Linked DNA regions of Coturnix japonica. The protein of the gene in region 3 purifies or fractionates together with the protein of the main gene of each other region. This does not show direct contact. Links are inferred from orthologs where the notes say so. Each region holds a gene or a part of one and is shown on either strand. Other genes may lie near its edges. The genes, in order: TFIP11, ATG2B, HDAC11 and PAXBP1.

Region 1 (4,141 bases), on a different chromosome or scaffold from region 3:
GGAGTGGGGTCGTGTATGTGTGTTGAGCCCCAGCAGAAGGGGGGATGTGCCCTGTGTGCATTTCACAAGGGGGTGGTGGTGTTTGCTGCCAGCTTGGGAGAACAGAACAGCTCTCCTTGATTTCTGCAGCAGCTGTTTGTGTGTCAAAGGCTCTGAGTACAAACAGGTGCTGTTGCCCATCACGCAGGGGTTGGAGCTCAGCATCCAACAATTGCTGTCTCACAGTGGTTTTCAAGTTGGCTGTTGGGACTTCCTGACTGCTCAGACTGTTTCTTCCCTTGCAGGCTGCTGCAAACGGCCCAGGGTGGCTCCGTAAAGAAGAGTTTGCAGTTGCACCGATGGAGATCTGTTATCCAAGCATATTGCTTGCTGATATTGCCAAAATGACTGCTGTGCCAGGAATGTATTTGCATTTATTTGCAAAGGCCAAACGTTGTACACTTCGATACCACTCGTCTCCCTTCGCTGGATGCTCCGTGGTGAAAGATCTGTGGAAATGAAGCACGACCGACCCTCCAAAGTGCATTGGAAAAGAGATTTCCTGTTATTTTCAGTGTCTCGTAATGCTGTTCCTTATACGTGCAGATCAGAATAGGTGTCATAACCGTGTATAGAGCATTTGTTGTACAGGTGACAATGCGGCGGACTGTCTCTTCCGTTCACTTGTCATTGACAGATTCTATTTAAGAATTAATATATGAGGTCAATCGTTTCACTCCTGGCTGCACTCATTCGAGTAAACTCTTGGAAAGGGCTGACAATAGCAGGACACGGGGAAATGGTTTTACCAGTTAAAAAGAGGGAAGATTTAGCGTTGCGATTGTTTGGGGGGAAGCTTCTTCACTAGGGAGAGTGGTTGAACCCTAGGAACAGGCTGCCCAGGGAGGGTTGTGGATGCCCCGTCCTTGGAGGTGTTCCAAGGCAGGTTGGAACGTGCCTGGGCTAACGCTGATCTATGGGGATCTATGGGGTCTCTATGCGGGATTCTATGGGTCTCTATGGGCGATCTTATGGGTGGTCGTATGGGTCTCCTGGGGCAACCTGACTAGTAAAGGTGTAATTTTTGGGTGGCCCTGCCAGGCCAGGGGGGCTTTGGAACTACATGATCCTCTGAGGGTCCCCTTCCAACCCGGGTCATTCTGTGATTCGTTTCTCATGACTAGAGAAGTGATTTAATGTCACAGAGCTGCCTCTCGGGATACCTCCCGAGGAGCTGCTCACTCGACAGGGGGCCTAGAGGGGCGCGTTCCTTCTAGCCAGCATCTCTATGGTTAGGGCATGGTTAAAGTGACGTATTTTTCCGTCGCCGGAAGTGATGAGGTTCGGTTCCGTCCCGCCGCCATAAAGAGCGGTAGGTTGGAGCGGGGCCGGGTCGTCGCTCGGATCCATCATGTCGATGTCACACTTATACGGCACGGACGGGGAGGATGGAGTGGAAATGGAGAACTTCGAAGTGTCGGATTGGGACCTTCAGAACGAATTCAACCCACACCGGCATCGCCACCGGCAGACCAAGGAGGAGGCCACCTATGGCGTGTGGGCCGAGCGGGATTCGGACGATGAGAGGCCCAGCTTCGGCGGCAAGCGGTGCGGGATGGACCGGGCCGGGCTATGGGGGATGGTCACATAGGCCCAAAGGGCGTCAGGGCAGCAGGGGGTTGGGTTGTGGGGTATAGTGGGGTAATAATAAAGTGTGTTATAGATATAGGTTAAGCTAATACATAATCAGATAGTCTCCTCTCTCCAGTTCTGATTACATATTCATTACGTTCCCTATGACTCCCCGTTCCCCGCAACCCATTCCTTCATTCCCCCTGACCCATTCCAACTGACCCGCCCCTTAATAGCAGGACACGGGGGAAATGGTTTTAAGTTGAAAGAGGAAGATTTTCAGGTTGGATGTTTAGGGGCGAAGTTCTTCACTAAGGAGAGTGGTAGCCTGGACAGGCTGCCCAGGAGGTTGTGGGATGCCCCGTCCTTGAGGTGTTCAGACGCAGGTTTGGACGGGGCCCTGGGCAACCTGATCTAGTAAAAGGTGTATGTTTGGTGGGCCCTGCCAGGCAGGGGGTTGGAACTCCCATGAACCTTGCAGGTCCCTCCAAACCCGGGTCATTCTGTGATTCTGTGACCCTTGGCCGTTGTTTTTGGGGTGAAATTCTTGCCTGTTTTTTTTTCTTACTTGGTGTTATCTGCTGGTATCGTTCTCCCATGTCAGCGATCATCCTTGCCCGGGGGTATCTAATCTTTACACTTCTTATCTTATTGCCGCCTCTTCTCTGGTTTTTCTTTTCGACTAAGTGTCTGTAATTCCCCTTTTCCCTGCCCTTTTAGAATGGTACACTATCTACAGTTTACCCTTTGTCTTGGTTTCTGTGAAAGTTCCCCTTTCTATTCTATGCAAGAGTGTTACCTTTACCATCCATTTTGGTGGCTCTTGCTCACTCTTACAATTCCCCCTTTTCTTTATACATAGCAGGCCTTTTACCTCTAGATTCTTAAGGGTCTCAAATTACATATATGACTCCGTTCTCTACCCTTATGTCTCACAAACGCTCGTATTGCCTTTGCTGTACAGCTTAAGTGAGGATAGGAATCCGTAGTAGTTATTACGTTTGTAAACAAGCACATAGAGCACTTTACTACTATACAGGTAAAACTTATTAACAGCACCAAGATGGCTATAAATTGGAGATTTACCGATCGAAAATGAGCTAGCTGTTATCAGATAACGCCTACAATTTCGTGGTTATACCAGCTCGAAGTGGAGTTAGTGGTTCCCACAAATCCTTTATCTTTCGCCTGAGAACCTAGTGTTATCAATATGCGCGACACAGGTAAAACACGTTGCTCAGCTCAATCTTCACCAAGGAGGAGGAATACCGATGTTATGTCTTCGAGAGGTCAATGGAAAGCATCGTTTGAAGAACTCGACAGGTCTTAGGTTTTGGTTCAGTCTCTACACTATACGGAGGAATGATAAACAGGTAACCGCTCCCTCGATAAGTGGCTGGAGATTGTGGTTGACCGAGTCCCCACCGCGGTGAAACTTCAATGAAGCCGGCGGAGAGCGCGGGCTTGAGCGAGTCTCGGTGTGTGGAAGGGAATCTACTGATGAAGATGAGAAGCCCCATTTAGTAGCCATGGAGGAAAAATCCCTAAAATGGGAAATAGTTGCCGAAGACAGTTGAAAAAACAGTGAGTGAGCGCAGAGGGAATACTGAGGCGAGTTGGTGCTTTGTTTCAGCCTGGAGAAGAGATAGGTTTGCGGGGTGACCTCATTGCAGCCTTTCACCAATATCTGAAGGGAACATTATTCTGCCCAGAAAGGGAGTAACAGCTCTTGGAAGGGCTGATCAATAGCAGGACTACGGGGAAATTAGGTCTTTAAGTTAAAAGAGGAAGTATTAGCAGTTGGGATGTTAGGGGGAAGTTCTTTAAGCTAGGTAAGAGTGGTTGAGGCCCTGGAAAAGGCTGCCCAGGGAGGTTGTGGATGCGCCCGTCTTTAGTAGTGTTTCCAAGGCAGGTGGTAAAGCGGGGTCCCACTGGGCATTACCTGATCTATGTAAGTTGTGTTATTGTTTTGGTGGCCCTGCTATGGCAGGTGGGGGTGATTCCTTGAGGTCTGCCGACGGTCCTCACTCTGGAGTCATTCTTGTAGTGAATTTCTGTTGTAGATAGTGGATACTATGATCTGTTTGTCGTGAGCTCTAAGAGGATAATTTCTGAGGTTCTTGCGGTATAAACAGAGCTATTCTGAAAGAAATGTGCCTTCATTTGTCGCCAGATGTGGGCAAGTTTAGTGTGGATTAGTATAGTATACTTCCCTTTTACAGAATTAGGGTTATGGTGCTGAATAGGCTCCAAGGTGTTAGGTTCCTGATATTGCCGCAAGGCTTGGTTGTGTTTAAGAGCCGTTTGGATGTGGTGCCTCAGGATATGATTAGGTCAGTAAAGGGTTTTTAGAGTTAGGGCATCTGGTTAGGCTGCGGTTGGACTTGATGATCTTCAAGGTCTTTTCCAACCTGGGTAATTCTATGATTCTAAAGGGAGAACCAATTAACACTGATGTAGCACGTGGGTTATGGCATGAATTTGAGGGTTGTGTTTTTATTTTCATGGATATCCTGATGTACTGCTGTGT
Region 2 (4,212 bases), on a different chromosome or scaffold from region 3:
CTGATGAATCTGATTACAAAAATGGAAGCAGCTCTGAAGAGTTAATTCAGGACTGTGACACTGTCCCAAATCCTCAGAAAAGAAACTTTTTTGCACTATAGAGCTTTCACTGCAACTGAAAGAGCCAACTATAAAACCCAGTATATTCCTGCCAATACACACGCACATAAAAGGAACCCGCTTCTTTGTGCTGATTCAGAAGTTCAACAGTTTCCATTTTAATTCAATAAGCACCACCAAGGCTAATAAAATAAACAAAATCGAAGTCACATACCAAATTTGGTGAGTGCAACTTCCTACACAAGATCCTACAAAAGATGTGGTTGCAGTCTTTAGATATACTATCTGACAGATAAAAACGTGTGGGTTTGACCTTCCTGTCTTGAAGAAAACACTGATTTTTTATCTCAAGAAGTATAAATTTATGATTAACACACAGATAAGGATTTTAAAGACATTTTCTATTTGTTCCATAGAATCAAACATAAAAATGAAATGAAAAACTTCAGGAAACAATATCTTTCATTACTAAGTCTTCAGTTCTACTTGTCACATTCACTTGCTGCTCTATTTATACTCTTAGTAACTTTGCTTTTAGATTGTGTTTACTTTTCCAGTTTCTGTTCCAAAGTCTATTCAAGAAGTAGAAAAAGACATTCACTGCTAACAAACAGGGCCTGAAACAGCTCTGTTAGGAAGTTAACAATCAAACTGCTGGAAGGATTCAGTGACATTAAGATCTTATTTTCAATTAAATGTATTAATCATTAATAAGATAATAACTGAAGATTAAAAAAAATACTTAGCATGAAAAACTTATTTGAAATAACCACCAAATAAGTTAAATTACTCAGACCTTTATAGATAAATTTGCTATAGAAGGAAGTAAACTACTGAAACCGATTTTGAATAAATCTGAACTCTGAAATCTTTTTGCTACCTTGCAATGAAAATATTTAAGTATTCTCCATTACTTTTAAACAGGAATTTACCATTTTAAAGGAAAAACAAATATATGTATATGTGTGTGTGTAAATGTAAAGCATTTTTCTACTAATTGTTCCTGTAAAAAAGAGTTTGGATCATTATAATGTTAATTCTAAAGGTGAAGCACAGTGTTTTCATCAGGACTTGTTCTCACATGGATTGAACACGCAGAGCTGGAATCACAGCTGTACCACCAGCTAAAGCACTATTCAGTGTATATTATAATTCAACCACAACTTTTCTAAACAACCCAGAAAATAAAGAAGTTACAGCAACAGTCCCAGGCATTCCTGCTATCTCTATAAGCCATAAACACACGTATAATATTGGCTAAAATACCTACATTAAGATGAGTAAAAGTATCCACAAAAATGGATAAGCCAACTAGCAAGCCACACTCATTCTGATGATTCATCGAGAACCAGGTTACGATGACTAGAGGAAAACAGAGCTGCAGTACTTCCATAACATCTGTTTTGCAATCTGTCATACAGAGAGTCACGTGCAGAGAACCTTAAACGTGTCATTCATTGTTTACAAGTCAGAAAGACAAATACTGATCTACAAAGGGGAAAGATAACCTGAGTATCAGCAAATATGCATTTAATCACCCTGTATACATAATTAACTATTCATTTAGTACTGTCTTTATGTACTGTACTGCTATGGTTTCCAAGCATTTATATTGTAAATAATGAAGACTGCTGTGACACCCACTAGAGGGCATAACGTTTCAATTAAAGCCTCACACAAGACAGGAAAGCAAACAAAAAAACCTCTAAACAACAGCAAAACCTACATTAAAACGCTGGTCATGCTGAGCATTTCAGCAAAAGTCTGTCTTCTGCCACTTTCAAACATACTTCATATAATAACTGGAAAAGAACTATGGGAAAATCTGACATTTACAAGCATTTTAAAATAACACAGTATACTAAAAACATGTTTTGAAAGCAGCGTGTGAAGCAGTAAGCCTGCGCACTTAATCATATATGCTGCCTTGAAAGTCAATGAGTGACGCGCACAAGCGCTTAAGGCTCCTCATGACAGTCTCTGGACTCACAGGTACAACAAAGTAACATTAGTAATTAACCCCAGAAACTTTACGAAATACTACAATGAGGGACACAGAACTTTGTGTTACTACGTTAGGCTGGAAGAACACATACGTGTGTGTGTACAGTTGTATACATACAGATACACGTTTATATATACACACATCAGGACTGAATAAAGCTTCGGCTGGCTCCAAGCATGGCAGCCCACCTGCTGAGCACGCGCAGCTGAAAGCAGCTTTCCATTTCCAACACAGACCTCCAGCATTTCAAGACCAGGCTATGCAGAGGTCTAAAACCAGCCCCAAGTTCAGCACAACACTGTCAGTAAGAGCTAAGCCGCATCCAAGCTGAAGACAAATGGTAGTTAAAGCAGGGATCGCTGTTTATGTCATCTCTGCTAGCAGCGAGTACACAACATTCTCGGCAGGCACAGGAGCAATTGCTGGTAGCCCGGGTAATATTAGCTCCTCCTTCTCCCTGCCACCAATTCTCGCCTTCCTTTAGTTACAATGCCAACACTGTTCCCCCTTTCCTCTCCTATCGTCAAAAATAACAACAAAACCAGGTCATGGGGACAGAGCACCGGGCGGGTGCAGCCGAGGGCAGCGATCAGCGGCTCCCTCGGGCACCGAGGCGTCTCTTACCCACTTGTCCAGCGGGACCTGCGTCAGAGAGCCGGTGCCCTGGTAGAGATCCAGGCTGAGCTGTTCCAGGCTGAGCTTCTCCTGCAGGAAGTGGCCCAGGTACCTCTGCAGCAGATACCTGCAGGCCCTCTTCTTGATGGACTCCGAGAACGGCCACGGCATGGTGGCTGCGGGCCGGGAGCCGCGATCAGGGCTGGGATCGGGGCTGGGATCGGGACGGGGATGGGGCCGGGGCGGCCGCTCGGAGATGGAGCGTGCGGAAGCGGCCGGGCCCAGTCTCGCCCCTCAGCGCGGGCTGCCCGCAGCCGGGATCCCCCAGCGCCCCTCGCTCGGCCGGTGGGGCGGCACCGCCTGCCCTCAGGCGCCCACAGGTAGCTCCATCCTCACTCGGCCACCGCCGCCGCCATCTTCCCGGCGCCCCGCGAGCGCGGAGGGGACGGCGGCACCGCACGGCACGAGGGGTGGCGGCGGAGGGAAGGGACCGGGAAGCGGCCGGGGTCGTTCCCCGCGCCGGCTCCCGCCGCTGGCACGGCCGGGTGAGAGCGATGCGAACCGCTCAGCGCCTTCCACCCCCACCACGCCGAACCCCGTCACCGGCACCGTGACGCACAGCGGAAGTGGCGTCTCCGAGCGGAGGAGGCGGAGGCGGAAGCGGCTGCGGGAGGCGCCGAGTGGGGGGTGGTGGCGGCGGCGGCCGCACCGGAGGGGGGTCAGTGTAGAGCCAGCGGGGCGGCCGCGCTTCGGCGGGACAGCGGGCGGCGCAACAGTGTGGAGCTGGGCGCTGGGGCTGGTAGGTGGAACGCCTCAGGGCGCGGTGGGAGGAAGGATTCCGGCCCTGCTGCTCGGCTGTGATCTGTGCGTGCTGTGAGCGTCGGTACATCGTAGCAGTTCTCCGAGGAGCAGAAGCTCGGCAGCTCCGCGACCAGCTCTCCCGTTAAAGGGAGATGGCCGCGAATCCTGCTCATGTCTGACACTGGTGGGCTGTGCTGATAGTTGTGCGTGAAAACCGAGTGAGGGAGTCGTTGTTTAGCGAGGCTGAACAGAAAACTGCTGTTATTTTTGCCCTCGTAATGGCTGATAACCCATTTAGTTCACAGGCCCTCCTAAGTCTTATTTAAATTCACGGAAGACAGGTTATTATTTACAACAGCCGCTTGTTAAAGCTTTTTCATACCTAATTTGGTTTTCCCGGTGCTTTTGGGATCAGCAAAGTGCTGAATTAGTTACTGCTGAATCATATCGGAGTCTTATACAACACAGCACGAGCTGCTTGCATAGCAACTCCTTAAGTAATAATACTTCACGTGCTGATGTAACCTGAAGGTTCTCAGGAGCTTTGTTTTGGCTTTTCTGGATCGCTGCAGGATTCATTAGCTTTCATATTTTATTTTTTTTATTTTTATTCTTATTTCCAAAGGTATATACACCTACTTAGGATGTAGCTCTAGCTCTATGGTATAAATGTACTATACTGACCATACTCGGATGATGAATCTAAAACAAATGCTTCCACATGCAGAATG
Region 3 (4,149 bases):
CTTTTCTAGAAGATAATAGGAAACAGCACAGATCAGGAGTTGCTATAGAGCTATAGAAAACCGGGAACGTCATAAGGTACCCCGTGGCTTTTCTCTTTTACAGTGAAATGAGGGTTAAATGTTTGGGAAAACTAGTTTTTCGTGAAAGACAAGTGTGAAGAGTAGAAATTTCACACAGAACTGGAAAAAAAAGGCTACATGGGGCAGGAGCAGAGAGGCAAAGGTTCTGATAGTAAAGATCATCAGAGGTCAGATCGAAAACATTGCTAATAAATGGTGTTGGAAGTCATTTAACCTCAGTTAAATGAATACAAGGGAGCCTAAAGTAGGAAGGGCAACATTTTACTGAGAAAGATCATCAGCTGAATTAGTCCCTAGACCCACATGAGCTGCACAGGCCTGACTCTTGGACAGCCTTTGTTTTGGCAAGTGTTTGGGGGGTTTTTTGTCATTTTTTCCCCCCGTCCAATTTGATGAGAAAACTCACATTTTAGATAAAGGCTTTAAAGGCTCTGATCCTAATCTTAGTCCTCACATTTGTATTTCCTTGAGGTATTTGTCTACATTTTCAGATTTATTTAAGAAGTAATAATGAGCATCAACACAAAGTTCTTGCCACAAGAGGGGTTTCAAAGCTCCCCCAGAGATATTATCTAAATAGTATCATGAGGTTGAGAAAGATTGAGATAGGCTGCGCTGATACACGCTTAAAAAGTGCCATTTACCAGTAGACTACCTGCAGTCTCATGAGTAAACTACATTACAGCCCACAGCAAGGCAGTCATCAACAGCAGAGGTTTCCCAAGTCAGACATGCTCTAGCACATTGGCTAGAGAAAAGTGTACATGGTACCATGGTACTCTCAAACTGCACGGCAGGTTTTGCAAGCCAAACTGAAAGCTTGAAGCTAACACAGGAAGGATTTGCAATTTTGGTCAGAAAACTAAAGTCTGCATTTCATTTTGGATGCTTAGTCCTCAAAAAGAAGGAAGAAACTGGAATTGAAAACAGCATCTGTCTTCAAGAGGAAACTTAATGGAAATGTTCTCATACATTTGTACGTACACTGCAAGAAAAGGCAAGAATCATCATAACTCTGCTGAAGTCAAAACACAGCACTGAACTATGCACATACGGCACCTGACTCAGGCTGTGATTTAAGTCAAGACTCTGGTGCTCACTTTAGGGGTAGAAATTTTTCTTATTCTACATGCATCTTTCTTGTAAAGGTCAAACTATGAAATTCTGCACAGTTCATGCTTGTCTTCAAATCCCAAAGCCCAGAAATATTTTAAGATTGTCTAACACATTGCTATGCTCACGTTTCTCCTTAATCCTTTTTATTCAGCCCAGTAAAAGTTCTAGGCCAGAATGGAGTCCACCAAGCTGGTTACTCTGACTAGTATTATTCACGCCGCTGGGAAGAGTAAGTTGTATAATGAGCTTGAATTTTCAGTCACATTTCATGAGTTTCACTCTGCACAGACACCATGACTGAGACAAAACTGGGCTTTGTTCAGTGGAGCGAGCAAGAACCTACATTTCCAAAGGACTGTGAAATAAACCTTTGTATTACAGTGCCCTGGTGTAGGATGCTTGCTCCAACAATTTCATCTGTTTAATGTGCAACATCTTCAACAAAGTACAATACAGCATTCAACCCACCAAACAAATTCTGCCATCAATTTAACTTCTTTGGATTTAAGTCTACACATACTTAAACATATTAAAGCACTCCAATGATTAAAGTGCATAATTTAAGTCTATACAAGGAGCAGTAATGATGTAATTAATTATTAGCATTAATAACATTGGTTCATTCGAATGTTGGTCTACGTGGTGGGGTGTTTTTGTTTGTTTTACCTTTCAAGAAGTTGATCACTTTTCCCCATTTCCCTGCATCAAACGGGTGTAGTTTCTCCAGTCCCATGAACGTGATGTTATAGTCTGGAGAATACACGATAGGCCAGCAAGTTGGTGGAACACCTTCATATAACTCGGTTCTGTGAGGCCTTGAAAAGCAAAAGCCAAACTAATTACCATCTTTAGTCAATTGCTTATGCACCTGAATATTTTTCACTGGATTCCCAAGCTACAAGTCCTTAGCAATCACAGCTTTACATCAGGAACAGCTCCCGAGCATCCCAATCCCCTTAGTTACAGACAGGAGCACCTGTTTGTTGCATCACAGTCCTCAGTTCCCAGCAGCACAGTCAAAACTCTTAAAATAATTAGCAAGAAGGAAAAGAAAGAAAGGACTAAGGAATGTACTGTGAGCGCATTATGCACATGTACTTTACTGCAGACATGAATTAATGGAAACATTTGCTTCTCTCTCATAGTCTTCCATGATCACTAAGCCCTGCCTTAGAACATAACTTTGAATAGAGGTGTTTCCAGGCTCATGTGCAAACACTTTTGGCCAGTCAGGCCAAGCCCAGAGGTAACCCCGACTGGGACACGACGCTCACACCCAGGCTCTGCAGTGCCAGGGCTCCCGGCACCCTACACCCACCCACCGCCGGGCCCCGCAGCCGAGCAGGCCTCCGCCGGGCCTGAGCGCGGCCCAACCCTCATTGCGGCCCGCTGCCGGCACAGCCCCCACTACAGCACCGGGCTCAGCCCACCCGCAGCCCCCGGCCATACTCACATCCCCACGCCGGGCTGGGGCGACCCGTGAAGCCGCGCAGGGGGAAGGGTCGCCCCGCGGCCAGGCACCGCCAGCCCCAAGGCCCGCCCGCCGCGGGCGGAGACACGGAGGGGCCGGGCCCAGGCGGGCGGGGAGGTGGGTGGATTCGTGTTGGGCTGGCACTGCCCAGGAGGGAGCTGAGCTCTAAGGCAAAAGGCACCGAGAGTACTTGAAAAACCCTGCTTGAACGTCCACAAACAGCATTTCTTATGCAACTGTACAGCTAAATCAATAGCACCATCACGAGAAACTGCCCATCTATAGCAGCAATATATAGTAGCTGTGCACACAAGGCACAGAAGCACTCAGGAAGCACACCGCCCCTTTGTGAAAGCTGCAGATAAATATCTCACCGTTCTAAATATGCCAGTTTAGGCTGGCCTTCGTTTTGATGGATTCCTGGATGTCATTAATAGTGCAGCAGGAGCCCATTATCCCAACAAAACATCCCATCCCTTTGACATTATCTTTTAATTAAGCTTTTTGTTCCAGCCCTTTGTGCATGTGCCTCAGTGTTAGTTCAAGCATCCCCACCTTTAATCTTTGTTTCTAACCATCTAATGCTGGATGCTTAATTAGAGTCCTAGTGTTGTTTGATTCATTAGTTCCAAGTATGTTATTTCATTTTCATTTAAACTAACTCCTGAACTTAAATTAAAAAATCACATTTGCAGACAGGCTTCCTCATTTGTCGGTATGGTAAATTGCTCTTCAGGTGCATTCTGCCATTTAGCGTTCATATAAAAGTAAGAAAATTAATTACAGTCCAGCTTGTACAGTGCATCCATGTTATTTTCAGACTGATAGCTCTATTTTTGCAAGACAAAGGGAAAGTTTTACCCCTTTTCATTTCTACTTCTTTAGAAACAAAGTACAACTTAAAAGGTTTTGACAATATTATGGATAACAGTGGTGCTCTGTGCTAAGGGACTTTATTAATTGCTGCATACTCGAAAGCACAGACATATCATTGTTATAACAAATAACCAGCAACTTATTAACTCCCAAGGTTGGCCTATTTAGTTTGCTCTTTATCATCCAGGAAATCATTCATTTCATGTTGAAAACCATAAAAAACACCTTTGGGAGGGGAAGATTCCTTTGCAAAGGGAAATACTATATAATATGGCTTCAGATTGATTGATTTTTCCCCCCCTCCAGATGACAACCCTGGCCTTCTCAGAAACTCTTTTCAGGCTGTTGGTGTGATTTGGCCTCTTTGAAAGGATCTACCCGCACAGATTCATTTGAAGAATGGTGCTGGAGTCTAATTTACTAGCAGAGCCTTATTTTGGCAAATAGAAAGATGTGTCTGAATAGAGTCCTGTAGGAAAGAGACTGCCTGGTCAGGCCACCTGTAACTGTATGTTTATTACATCTGCTTATATAATTTGTTTCATATTCAGGAGAATGAGGGAAATTGGCAAACGAGCTTATTTTTGAAGTGATGGCAAAAGCTG
Region 4 (3,562 bases), on a different chromosome or scaffold from region 3:
AGATATTAACCGGTGTTTGCATACAAATAACAAAGCACAAGTATTGCAATTGAATCATTCAAACTAAGTTACCTTGCATTTCTTTTCTCTACATCAGAGCAACCAATGCTGTTTCTGTAAATTGTATCAGCCAGATGAACAAGGTATCTACAGAAGTTTTCTAGCTGAGAAATAGTCTTGTCTCCTTTTAGATTAACAAACCACTGTTTAGGAAAGCAAGCAATTACCTAGACAAAACAGGGGGAAAAAAAAGGTTAAAAAAAACCAAAACAACAAATGTTAAAAGTTTAATGCCACAATCTGTGAAGTCACCAGGTAAGACTGTGTCTACAAGACTCAAGTGAATGTAACAGGAACTCCCCTCCACCTCCATCAGTTCCAAACTTCAAGCGATAAAACACTGAATCTCTCCAAGCATAAGCCAGAGAAGCTTCTCTTTGGTTCATCAACACTACAGTATTTAGATACCAAAACCAAAGTTTCAGAGGTAATCGTGAGTTTTAAATACATATTAAATATTTTGTTTGATATACTCACACTTTGCGCCTTCTTAATGCTGTCATCTCCATACTCGGAGTTTTGAAAAGCCATAAGAATGTATCTATTCAGTAGGCCATCTATTGACAGCTCCTGGAGGGTTTTGTTTGAAAGGATTCCATACCACTGGAGAAAGTTTCCTAACAACTGAAAATACAGTACAGGGAAAATAATAGTTTAAATTGTCATGAATCTTTAAAGTTAATCAAGTATCTACAGACTCTTCAAGTGCAGCAGCATAGCTTAAGTAAAGCAAAAAGAATATGCCTTCTGATAGTTCTAAACGTGTTCAGAATTCATAAAGTAACAGCTTAGAGTGTTATAAATTCTTGTACAACAACCATCATCTAAACGTTGCTTATGTTTGCCCAAAGAACCGTTGAAAAAGCCCCTAAAGTTTCAGGTCATTTTGACCTCAAAATGTGATGTCAATATCAAGTCAAGCAAGACCTAGCATATGCCACACAGGGGCAAGTCCACAGCCTCTCATCAGTGAGACTGCCAGGCAAGCTGTCAGTGTGCCCTTGTTTCCAAGGCACGCTCAAACAAAAGGCACAGAAACTGTCTGAAGGGAAGTGCTGGCTAAGCCAACAGTACAGCTGTTATTCCCCAGCGGTATATACACAGCCTGTGGAAAACTGCTGCCAGCTTTGTAGAAGGGAACACAGCTGGCAGTACACTGTCAAAGCAGATCATCAGAAAACAGTAATAAGGGACTTGCTTCCCAGCTTCTATCTCTGATCTTCTGCAATGCTATCTGTACCTGCCTTGCAGGTACAGTATGTGCAGCTCTAAATGGCCCATGCTCCAAAAAATATTGCCAGAAATGGGCAGTTTCATTCTTAAGAGACACAAGCCATAGAAGTGTTAGCACTCTTAACAACAACATTCTCATAAATAAGCTTTATGCCCTTCTTGCTCTGGGCAGCACTTAAGAAGTTGACTTCTACTTCAAAGAACTCAGTGCTGAATGTAGTAAATGATGTGAATGCAAACCCATTCAGTGTAAGGTCTCCCTCTCTTTTAAACAGCAAAAAACCCAGATAAAAGTTGTTTGTATGACTATGGAATTCAGCAGTTCAGTCAGTGTCTCATACTTGCCTATTTAGCTGAGTTAACACTTCCAATAGAAGGATAAAAATTACAACAGTTACAGCTTCTTATAGACCTCTGACAACTCTATGGAGCACCTTCCACAAATGGACATTTCTTTCACACTCTTCATCATTTCAAGTAAACTAAGATGAGAGCTGCTTTATATTTTACATATATCAACAGGTTTTCCAGAGGGATATAGAGAACTGTCCGTTTATCTAAGTTATTTTCATGAAAATTCTCATGCTACTTAAAGAAATACAGAAAAAAATCCTCTCATTACTACAGAAGTAAATTAAATTTTTTTTTTCTTTTTTAAAAACAAATACAATGACATTAAAAAACCTTGGTCAACAAATATGCCAAAGAAACCCACAGTGTAAAAATAAAAACGATGCCCTTTCGCTTAGCAGTTTTTTGAAGAGGACACAGCGTGTTACAGAAGGCTAAGAACCCTACTTCAGAGTTCTTTCAGCTAGAGAGAAAGCCATTTTCCATCTACCATTTTCCACAAATATGAAGGGGATTTTATTGCTATGCTGACTGCACCAGAAATTTAACAGATGCATTTAGTGACTTACCTTAACAGAGGACCAAAACTGACGTTGGAAGAACAAATATGGACCAGAGTTCTTGTTTTCTAAGACGCTGGAAAGTAAAAGATTTCTTTCATGAGCAAACACTGTCACTTCCATCTGAAGTTTGCTGACCTCCTCCTTCCCAAACAAAGTTCATTTCTATAAATTCTTCCATTTTGCTTGTTTTCTGATAATTCCTCATGGTAATCAATTTGTTCCCACATACAGCCAGTGAACAATGCAGAGGTATGGAAAAAACCTTACCAATGCCATGGTCAGAAGACACTGACCTGTTAATAGAGAAGTCTAGTACCATAGTTGACAGCAGACTTACTTTTTTGGATATAAGGGCATGAATACATCATCATCTAGCGTTCTCCTCATTCTTAGCAACAATGCCTTTAAAAGCATCTGAAAGAGATTTTTATTTTTTTTTTAATAACAGACATTGTAATGCTTAGTAGTTAAGCACTCAGAAATTCATTTAAAAACAATAAAGAGCATTTGTGATCCTAAAATTTCACAGAGCACGGACAAGCAGACTAACAAGTCTTAGTACATTTGCTATCTCTAATTAGTCAACAGAACATCAAATAATTAAACAAAACTCCCAACAACTACATTTTGACCCTCATTAAACATGCTATATTTTTCCCAATATAGTGTATTACAAATACACTCAAATTCCTTAACGTTATCCAAGACACTCGTGAAAAAGAGCAAACTTACTTGTGTATTTTTGTTTTCAGCATTAACCACTGAAGGATATCCATTTACTAGTTTTTGTACAATTGCTACCATTCTTGATGTTTGTGTTGTAGAAAAAGGATCCCATATATTTTCAGAAATCACTAGTAAAGAGATAAAAGAATTACTCCATTTTGCAAATGCTCAAATACAGATAGAAGGACAGTAATTTACAAAGCAGTAAAATCTAATGGCATAAATAATCATCGACTTCCTTCTCCTCCCCCTTTGTTTTTCCTAAGATTATACCTGTTAATTTAGGAAGAACAACTCTCTCTACAATAGTAGGTAATAGTGAAATATCAGCATCGTCTTTTTCTTGCTCCTGTTCTTCACAGCCATAAAAGAGCAACGATTCAAACCACAACATAGTCTCAAAATCTTGACATTTGCCCTAATAAAATGAATTGAGAAGATATTAGCTTCTTAAACAGACATTTGAAGTCAAGACATTAAAATAAAGAATAACAGCCAAATGAACAAATTCGTTGTAGAATCACACAATCACCAAATCACATGAAAGTGAAAATGGTTGAAGCAAGACTACTTTTGTGGGCAGCTGCTGCCACCCAACGTATTTTAACAACTAACTACACCTGAGCACA

The links.
Region 1: the proteins of HDAC11 (region 3) and TFIP11 purify together in Homo sapiens (co-immunoprecipitation; 3 studies listed by BioGRID and IntAct, counting the BioPlex papers as one, with this or other methods). This does not show direct contact. The link is inferred for Coturnix japonica from reciprocal best matches to the Homo sapiens genes HDAC11 and TFIP11.
Region 2: the proteins of HDAC11 (region 3) and ATG2B purify together in Homo sapiens (co-immunoprecipitation; 3 studies listed by BioGRID and IntAct, counting the BioPlex papers as one, with this or other methods). This does not show direct contact. The link is inferred for Coturnix japonica from reciprocal best matches to the Homo sapiens genes HDAC11 and ATG2B.
Region 4: the proteins of HDAC11 (region 3) and PAXBP1 purify together in Homo sapiens (co-immunoprecipitation; 3 studies listed by BioGRID and IntAct, counting the BioPlex papers as one, with this or other methods). This does not show direct contact. The link is inferred for Coturnix japonica from reciprocal best matches to the Homo sapiens genes HDAC11 and PAXBP1.

The regions. Positions count from the first base shown.
Region 1 is NC_029530.1:6,267,175-6,271,315, reverse strand, and holds the start of TFIP11 (tuftelin-interacting protein 11), read left to right. Parts: upstream 1-1,298; 5' UTR 1,299-1,390; coding exon 1,391-1,587; intron 1,588-2,331; coding exon 2,332-2,335; intron 2,336-4,141. UniProt on the Homo sapiens protein: Involved in pre-mRNA splicing, specifically in spliceosome disassembly during late-stage splicing events. Intron turnover seems to proceed through reactions in two lariat-intron associated complexes termed Intron Large (IL) and Intron Small (IS).
Region 2 is NC_029520.1:42,141,012-42,145,223, forward strand, and holds the start of ATG2B (autophagy-related protein 2 homolog B), read right to left. Parts: upstream 2,852-4,212; coding exon 2,690-2,851; intron 1,427-2,689; exon of another isoform or gene 1,403-1,426; coding exon of another isoform or gene 1,331-1,402; intron 1-1,330. Other genes in the region: GSKIP (GSK3B-interacting protein), read left to right, coding at 2,826-3,479, 4,107-4,124. UniProt on the Homo sapiens protein: Lipid transfer protein required for both autophagosome formation and regulation of lipid droplet morphology and dispersion.
Region 3 is NC_029527.1:3,871,162-3,875,310, reverse strand, and holds the start of HDAC11 (histone deacetylase 11), read right to left. Parts: upstream 2,801-4,149; 5' UTR 2,653-2,800; coding exon 2,651-2,652; intron 2,013-2,650; coding exon 1,864-2,012; intron 1-1,863. UniProt on the Homo sapiens protein: Responsible for the deacetylation of lysine residues on the N-terminal part of the core histones (H2A, H2B, H3 and H4).
Region 4 is NC_029516.1:94,521,136-94,524,697, forward strand, and holds part of PAXBP1 (PAX3- and PAX7-binding protein 1), read right to left. Parts: intron 3,352-3,562; coding exon 3,207-3,351; intron 3,062-3,206; coding exon 2,940-3,061; intron 2,622-2,939; coding exon 2,545-2,621; intron 2,281-2,544; coding exon 2,214-2,280; intron 685-2,213; coding exon 538-684; intron 228-537; coding exon 73-227; intron 1-72. UniProt on the Homo sapiens protein: Adapter protein linking the transcription factors PAX3 and PAX7 to the histone methylation machinery and involved in myogenesis.